2 linked regions of the Oryzias latipes genome follow. The protein of the gene in region 1 purifies or fractionates together with the protein of each later gene. This does not show direct contact. Links are inferred from orthologs where the notes say so. Each region holds a gene or a part of one and is shown in the gene's direction. Other genes may lie near its edges.

Region 1 (4,143 bases):
ATATAATTTTTACTTGTTTATAGTGCTGTTATTTGCTATGTTGTTCTTGCCCTCTTCTGCTTTTTGTTTAAGAGGATGTTTTCCCATTATCGGTTCCTTCCAACAATATAAACTTCTTTCCTCATTTTGTCACAGCCCGTAATCTGTTACATAGAAAGTTGTCAATCAAATCGGCCAATACTATTATTAAATCATTTTAAAACGCAATAAATCGATATGTAATTATTTCACTTTATTTATTTTCTTAATTTATTCATTTTCTTTTGTTGTAGTTGTTGTTTTTCAATTTTCAATTGTTTTTGTTCCTGAACAGTTCTTTGTTTTTGGTGTGAACTTCATTACTTATTTCTGTATTTTGAAAAAAAAAAAAAAAAAGTTTTTACATGTTTTTTACAGTTGATTACATGTTTTGCAGACCACATGTTTTATACACTTTTGCAGCTGTATTTATTTAATATTTATTTATTTAATAAGAATCTCATTTTTGATAATAATTTTCCTAATAATTGTAATAATAATTTTAACTATTTAATATGAATGTCATTTGTGATGTCCTTTTTTGATGTTATATTATATAGATTATTTCTGAATGTCGTTTTTGCTGCCACAGATAAATGAAATTTCCCCATTGTTGGATTAATAAAGTTATCTATCTATCTATCTATCTATCTATCTATCTATCTATCTATCTATCTATCTATCTATCTATCTATCTATCTATCTATCTATCTATCTATCTATCTATCTATCTATCTATCTATCTATCTATCTATCTATCTATCTATCTATCTATCTATCTATCTAGTAAAAGCTAGATATGATGTCAGCAAAAACTGATCAGTCAGTCATTCCAGTCTATTGTATGGAAACACTTATAAATTTAGCAAAGACATGTGACCATACAGTATGGTAGAATGTTATAATAATAGTCCCTTTGTATTATTTTAATTTGGAAAAAACAAAAGTGGGCTAAACTTTAGAAAACTAAAATGTGAATGGATTTTTCATAAATTCTTGTTTACTTGTTTGTTTGCACACAAATTTATTTACACTCTATTAGCTTGCAAGAAATTCAAGGAACCTGGAAAACTTCATTTGCACTGTCCGGTACCCAGGTATTTCTCTCTGAGTGACACTGGTACAAGTTTTAGCTTTCCTGGATCCATTTTAGGTCAGTGAATCGGATCACTGCAGCAACTAAAAATGTCATGAATTACATTTTTGTAAAAGTAAATCGTTACACCCCTACTAGACAGCAAATTGTGGAAAAACTGGATTTAAGTTAATCAAAGCTCTGTAAAATGTTTGCAGCATAAATTAAATCTACTTGTAAATTTTTATTTTGGACGAAAAATAGTTTTTAAAATGCAGTTTTTATTCAGTTTCACAAGCACTATAACTAAAAAGTTAGACAAATCGGACTGTGCTTCACACGTGTCCACTAGGTGGCGGTAGCGCAAAAATTAGACGGTTAACCGACCGAACCTAAATTGCAGACAAAGAGCGAAGCTAATATCCGGTAAAAACAATAGTTGAGCGACTACGTTTAATTGCTACAATGGATGGCAGTTATTTTGGACAAATGTTTGCAATTGATCTCTCGGAAGACCAGACATTTTGTGACATCTGCTGAACAAAGATTAGTGAGTAGTTGTTAGCATTTTTAGGGTGAATCGAGCATCTTCCTCTAGTTTCCTTCGTACTACGTCGGCGTCGTTTTCCTGAAAAAAAAAAAAATGCCGCTTGGTTTGAAACCGTGTTGTGCTGCGTGTAAGACGAACTCTTCCTCCATGTGGAAAAAGGGAAGCCAAGGGGAGATCCTGTGCAATAACTGCACGGGGAAGAGCAGCAGCGCCACGGCGGCAGGACCTTCCATGTCATTCAGCGCTCAGCCCAGTAATGGCGGAGGGAAGCAGGTCAGTCAGTCAAAGGAGGACTCAAACTCCCAGCAACTTCTCCTTTGCTCAGCATCAAACCACGTCTGTTTCTTTGTAGTCCAAGCAGGAGATACACCGGAGGTCTGCGCGGCTGAGAAGTACCAAATACAAAGCTCCTGCTTCTGAGAAGAAAGTGTCAACAAAAGGAAAAGGAAGGAGACATATTTTCAAACTAAAAAATGTCAGTTAAAAAAAATAACCAAAAATCATTCTTCCTGTCATCTTTTATTTTAACCTGTAAACTCTTCCCCACAGCCAATCAAAGCTCCTGAATCTGTAGCAACGATCGTCACTTCAGAATCTGTATTTTATAAGGTATTGTGATTATTATTCCAATCATTTGTTTGTCCGTGTTATACTGTTGGTCTGCAACCTGTGGCTCCGGGGCCACAGGTTGCTCTTTTACCCCTCCACTGTGGCTCTCTGATTAAAGAAAAATAACGTTGTGATTTTAAAATATAACTGTAATGTAAAAAATAATTATAAATAAGTAGGAAAGTAAACTTACACAAACTTTATTCAACTCATCCACAAACAGTTGAAGGACAGTACATATCAAAAACATTTTTGACAGTTTTTTTTAGCGCAGTGTACTGCAGAAAATCAATTGGAGGTCAGTAAGCACAATTAGGGAGGATTTTTGAACAAATTGAATGATTTTAAATTTGTTTACGTTTGAAAAATATGGTAAGGTTCACTTAATTAGCTCTGATTTAATTATGGTTGGTTAGGATTTACACATTTATGGCTGAGATTCACCACAAGCGATAAAATAATGTGTTGTTTTTGTTTTGTTTTTTATCACTGCTAACAATACGCCAATACCCTTATTGCATTGAGATGATTCTATATGACACCGGCTGTCTTTTATTTTGAAAGGAATTCATGTGAACTTCTGTCAAAAGTTTAAACTGTTTCATTTGTTTTAAAAAGGCTATTTTATCTTTGTTTGTTTGATTTCTGCCCAAAAAAGCAACAGTTCATTTATATTTATCATAATAATAATAATGACATCAATAAATATTTTTAAGGGTGAAGTGAGATTTTGTGGATTCTGTTGGGTTCAGTGAGAAATCGACCCAAATGGCACTTTTAGCGTTGAAGGTTGCATGCCGACTACTGTCTATGTTTTTGTTTCTTTTAACATCTCTTCACAAATACAGGGGGTTTACTACCAGACAGGTGATGTGATCAAGGTGATAGATGAGGATGACGGGAAGCCCTACTATGCTCAGATTCGAGGATTTGTGCAGGACCAGTACTGCGAAAAAAGTGCAGCACTAACGTGGCTCATTCCCACCCAGGCCAGCCCAAAGGACAGGTTTGATCCTGGGACTTACATTGTCGGTGAGAACTCCTACAGAATAACATATTTCTTAAGTGATTTTCTGGTCTTGGGTTAAGCATCATGTGTTGTTTTCCAGGTCCAGAGGAAGATCTGCCCAGAAAGATGGAGTACCTTGAGTTTGTGTGCCATGCACCCTCTGAGTATTTCAAGTCCCAGAGCTCCCCGTTTCCCACTATCCCCATATGTCCTGAAAAAGGCTACATTTGGACCCATATAGGACCTTCACCAGCATTCACTGTCAAAGAGTCTATCAGCACCACCAGTTAACAAACAGTATTGGTAAAATAATTGTAATTATGCAGAGTATGTACATGTTTGTATTTGTAAATAAAACCAACTTTTGTTTTTCATTTCTCATCTCACGACTTTAATTCTTTAAAAACATAACAAAATAACAAAAAGACTATTTGAAATTTCTTGATTTTCTAAGTTGCAGGAGGAAAGTAGACCCTCCCCCTCACAGGGAGGTTTTTGACTTTATCAGCACTTTTGGGCTTTTATGGTTTCTAGCTTTTATTTTCACTCAAAAAAAACCTTTTTATAAAATTTCTGAGCCTTTTAGGAAACATGTCTAATATTTTTTCATAGTTCTGATAACACTAAGGTCATGAGCCACGGCTCCTGAGCTACTTCTGAGCTTTAAGATGCCAACATTGTTGCATATCTTTTAATAAAAAATGTTAACTTATAAACAATAAAATCTGCACAGTAAAACAAAATGTTGCCCTATCGGTGTGAAATAGCTGTAAAGAAGACTAAAGCTAAATTATTTAGAATTTTTTTTTTTTATTAGCTGACATTTTCAGTTAGTGAGGTTTCCACATACGGAATTTGCAAAAAAATAAGTTCTGTCAAATT
Region 2 (4,011 bases), on another chromosome or scaffold:
TGATTGGATGAATAATCTCCAGTTTGACTGTAGATGCTGAGAAGAGAAAGCTAAAGCCTTAGTCCCAACTGCTCTTAGGGGTGGGCACGGGCTGTCTGCAGATGAAAAAGGGCCAAATCTGTATGAGACAAGCAGGCGGCCCGCACGAAATTTCAAGATTGTAGACCACTCAGTGAATGTTCATGCTCAGTTTTTCTACGGGCTGGTGCGGGCGGCAGGTCGTCAGGTACTTTAACAACACACAACGGCAGGCACAGGTGAAGTATGTAAGACACAGGCATTTCATGTTGATTTTTCATTTTTTCCGCCCCCCTGAGCAAGAACACCCATACCTCATCAGTTTGTAACTTCCATTATCCTAACAAATACTTCACCATGTACTTACGAAATGCAAAACAATAACCTTTAAGGTGGTTGTGCAAGCCTCAAGGGAACTACAAGACATCTTAAGGAGCAGCCACTCCTCTCTACGACTCTTGACGGGCCAGAAAACCCAAAAACTGTAGACTTTAGACGGCTCGTAGACTGGATCAGGTCTGTGTGCGATTGGAAGAATTTCTGACCAATCGGCATCAAACTTTATGCCCATGTCTGTGATTAACTGGCTTTTGTGACACATAGAGAATTGTTTTGATTGGACATATTTTTAGGTTTCAAGAGTAAAACTGTTTTGTTTGCACTTATTTTTGAGTCTCAAGTGCATTTTTATGTTTCAAGTGCAAAATATTTTTGAGCACACAAAATATTTCAAGTATTTCAAGTACGCTTGGAATAATGGGACACATAAATCACTCCATAGACGAGGACAAGGCCAGAGCAGAGGACCAAGTGGTGTAAGTAAAAAAAAAAGGGCTTTGTGGCTTTGAGGGAGGAGTTGAAGAAGCAGAGGTGAAGAACAAATTTAAATAAGGTTCAACAGTGCAAAGCAAAGTCCAGATAAAGGAGATTTTCACGTGCCTGAAGCATGAATTGAGTGTGAAGTGGGGCTGTGCGACTCTGAGTCTGTCAGAAGGAAGAGGCTCAAACTGGGGTAGAAGGTTGCAGAGTCTTGTACTAAAATGATCTCCTGGTGGCATGGCTAGACTACCACAGACAGAACTGGCAATCCACATATCATGTGTTGATGCCCTGCCCCAAAGACGCAAAACAAAAGAACAAGGACAAAGAAACTTAAAGTGGGGCGCAGGGGCGGAGCCCAACCTTGCCCCGCCCAGCCCACGTAGCCCCTCCCACTCAGCGACGCCGTGCAGATGTTCTCCATCCAGCTCTTGTCTTTCTGTTAACGCGAATTGAGCCTCACCTGTGGAGCTAAAGGAGCTTGTAGCATGGCGTACACGGTTGCAGGTGGAACTAAGAAGAAGGTCTGCTACTACTACGACGGTAAGAGCTGCTGTGTGGCGCACGAGCCAGGCTAACGCTAGCTGTTAGCATCGAGCATGTGCTAGCATCGGTCAGTTACGGTCGGAACTCATTTCTCCGGGGCTAAAGTCTTTTCTGCTTCATTGAAACGGTGTAAAGCCAACATCTGAGGGGGGCACTGTACGTTAAGTAGCCGGCGCCTCACGTCTGTCTCCACCCCTCGTTGTGTGAGTTACGGCTACGTACGTCAGTCTTGTTTGAGACCCAGGCAGTTCAGCCGGCGTTCTGTTGTGATCTTTCAAGATCCCACCGAGGAGAACCCACATCCGGGAACGTATGAGGAGAAAAGCTTTTAACGTCTTTAACGAGGTTGCCGTCCCACAATGCAACCATCCACAGAACACACGACTGGCAGCCTCTACTGCTTCCAGACGAGCACGCGCGGCCTGGCTCACCTACACGTCACGTGACCGTCTGCAGAAGCCCCGGGTGGCTCTAAACCTGCGTTCAGGTCCAAACACAAGCGTGTCCGATCGCTTTAAGTTATTATTTTTTTTTAAATCAAAAACCTGTGTTGTTTTCTGGGACATAGTTTCTGCAGAGCATTAACCTCTGAGTTGTGGGTGGGACTGTTGATGCAGAGCACCCCCCCCCCCCCCCCCCGTTTACACTCTACTCTACCACTAGCTTACAGCCCCTCACAACCCCATCCTCACATTAGCAGTGCAACAAAAAAGATGGCCAATATCAGATCTATCCCGATTCCAGCTCAGACGAGGAAAACAAAGACGTTCATGGATCCATTAGTCTGCAGGTGGATGCCTTAAGGCCCGTACACACCGGGACGAATATTCGCCAGGCGTTATTCGCCAGCGTTTTTCGCCACGTTTTTTGTGTTCACACCCAGGCGATTTTCGCTGACGATGAGTGGAGTGAACATGCAATTTCATTCCCTGACATTAGATGGCGCTTAATGTAAAACTGAAATACTCCTGTACACAAGGTGGCGCTGCGCAACTTTACGCTTCTTAAAGTCGCTTTTCACTCAGAAGAAGAGAGCAAGTTTTTACACGCTTGTCAGAATCAAACAAAGAAAACATGAATATTTCAAGCACCAGTAGCTCCAACTGGTGCTTGGTTCGGGGATGTTTTAGAATGTCCGTCATTATTGCTTCGCGGCTGTGTAGACGCTACTTGGCGTCTATCTTCTTCGCTGGTATGTGTGCTCAGCAAGGCAGTTTTGTGTTTGAGCGCCCCCAAGTTGTGTTTTACTGTAACTTCAGAAGCTCCAGACACGTGAGCAAAAGCGCCGTTCTCATTGGTCGAGTAGATTTCGTCGGAAAAAAAAAACGAACCCGAGGCGTTTTTTTTTGGACGCTTTAACGCCTGGCGTTTTTTCGCGTCGATGTGCACACTCTCGTTGGTGCCCTTTGTTTAGTCACGAGGCGTTAAACGTCGGCGAAAATCGCCGGCGAAATTCGTCCCGGTGTGAACAGGCCTTTAGAGTGGAACAGAACAGGGAGCTTGGGGCTTGCTTATAGCTATTCCCAACTGCATATTTTTTATCCGCTCCTGACTCACAACAGTTTGAACAAAGAAATACTCGGAAATTCAATTTTCTGTTTAATTTTCTTCATATTCAGAATAATGCTGCCAGAACGTGTTAAAAACACCATGTTCATTTAAGCAATTCACTTCACCTTTTTCTGCGGTCACATTTAGCTTAGAGCAGTCCCACGTGCACTAATGACGTGCACATCACTTTGAAATGACTAGATTACTGATGCAGATGTAGATCTTCGTGAACATAAGTGTCATAAAAGTTCAGCCCATTAGAACTGGCACTTGTTTAGAGCGGTTTCATATTTTAATAATCTGACTGAAATCATAATGTAAAGAATAAACTGACATTATGAGATGTCAGAGTACATTTTGGTTGGGAGGGTCCAGTTTGTTGGACAGGGATCAGTCCCGTTTTCTGTCTGCTGTAAACTGTTCCTGGTTTGTTTACTGAGCAGTAATAAATAACGGTGAGGATGTGAGTCATCGTTCTGAAGCTTCGGTTGTTCCACAGATCAGTGCTCTGAGTTGTCTTCCTCTGTCGTTTGCTGCTCATGTTCTCTGTTGGAACAACACAGATGCCAACAGTTGAATCAGAAAAGCTGGTGGAGCTAATGTTGGCAATCTGCATCATTGATTTTGTGTTTTTCTTGTGTCTAGGTGATGTTGGAAACTACTATTATGGACAAGGACACCCCATGAAGCCACATCGGATCCGCATGACTCACAACCTCCTCCTGAACTATGGCCTCTACAGAAAAATGGAGATCTATGTATGTTTTCCTGTGCTCTGTTGCTGTGAGGAGCGTGTCTCCATGTGACCTGATCCTCAGCAGACTTCAGACATTAGGAAACGTCGATTTAGCTTGGCGGTTTGCTCTTAGTTCTGTGTTCGCTCCTGCTTTCATTCAGTTCTGGTTTCTTCCCTTCCACCTTTCTCCTGGTTTCAGAGGCCACACAAAGCCACCGCAGACGAGATGACCAAATACCACAGTGACGACTACATCAAGTTCCTCAGATCCATACGGCCAGACAACATGTCCGAGTTCAGCAAGCAGATGCAGCGCTGTGAGTGGGCTCTGTTGACGTTCA

What was found.
Region 2: the proteins of gatad1 (region 1) and hdac2 purify together in Homo sapiens (affinity purification with mass spectrometry; 4 studies listed by BioGRID and IntAct, with this or other methods). This does not show direct contact. The link is inferred for Oryzias latipes from reciprocal best matches to the Homo sapiens genes GATAD1 and HDAC2.

The regions. Positions count from the first base shown.
Region 1 is NC_019869.2:23,121,619-23,125,761, reverse strand, and holds gatad1 (GATA zinc finger domain-containing protein 1), read left to right. Parts: upstream 1-1,465; 5' UTR 1,466-1,562; coding exon 1,563-1,643; exon of another isoform or gene 1,644-1,736; coding exon of another isoform or gene 1,737-1,802; coding exon 1,803-1,916; intron 1,917-1,995; coding exon 1,996-2,118; intron 2,119-2,192; coding exon 2,193-2,252; intron 2,253-3,100; coding exon 3,101-3,284; intron 3,285-3,361; coding exon 3,362-3,552; 3' UTR 3,553-3,636; downstream 3,637-4,143. UniProt on the Homo sapiens protein: Component of some chromatin complex recruited to chromatin sites methylated 'Lys-4' of histone H3 (H3K4me), with a preference for trimethylated form (H3K4me3).
Region 2 is NC_019882.2:21,614,237-21,618,247, forward strand, and holds the start of hdac2 (histone deacetylase 2), read left to right. Parts: upstream 1-1,205; 5' UTR 1,206-1,325; coding exon 1,326-1,380; intron 1,381-3,579; coding exon 3,580-3,692; intron 3,693-3,869; coding exon 3,870-3,987; intron 3,988-4,011. UniProt on the Homo sapiens protein: Histone deacetylase that catalyzes the deacetylation of lysine residues on the N-terminal part of the core histones (H2A, H2B, H3 and H4).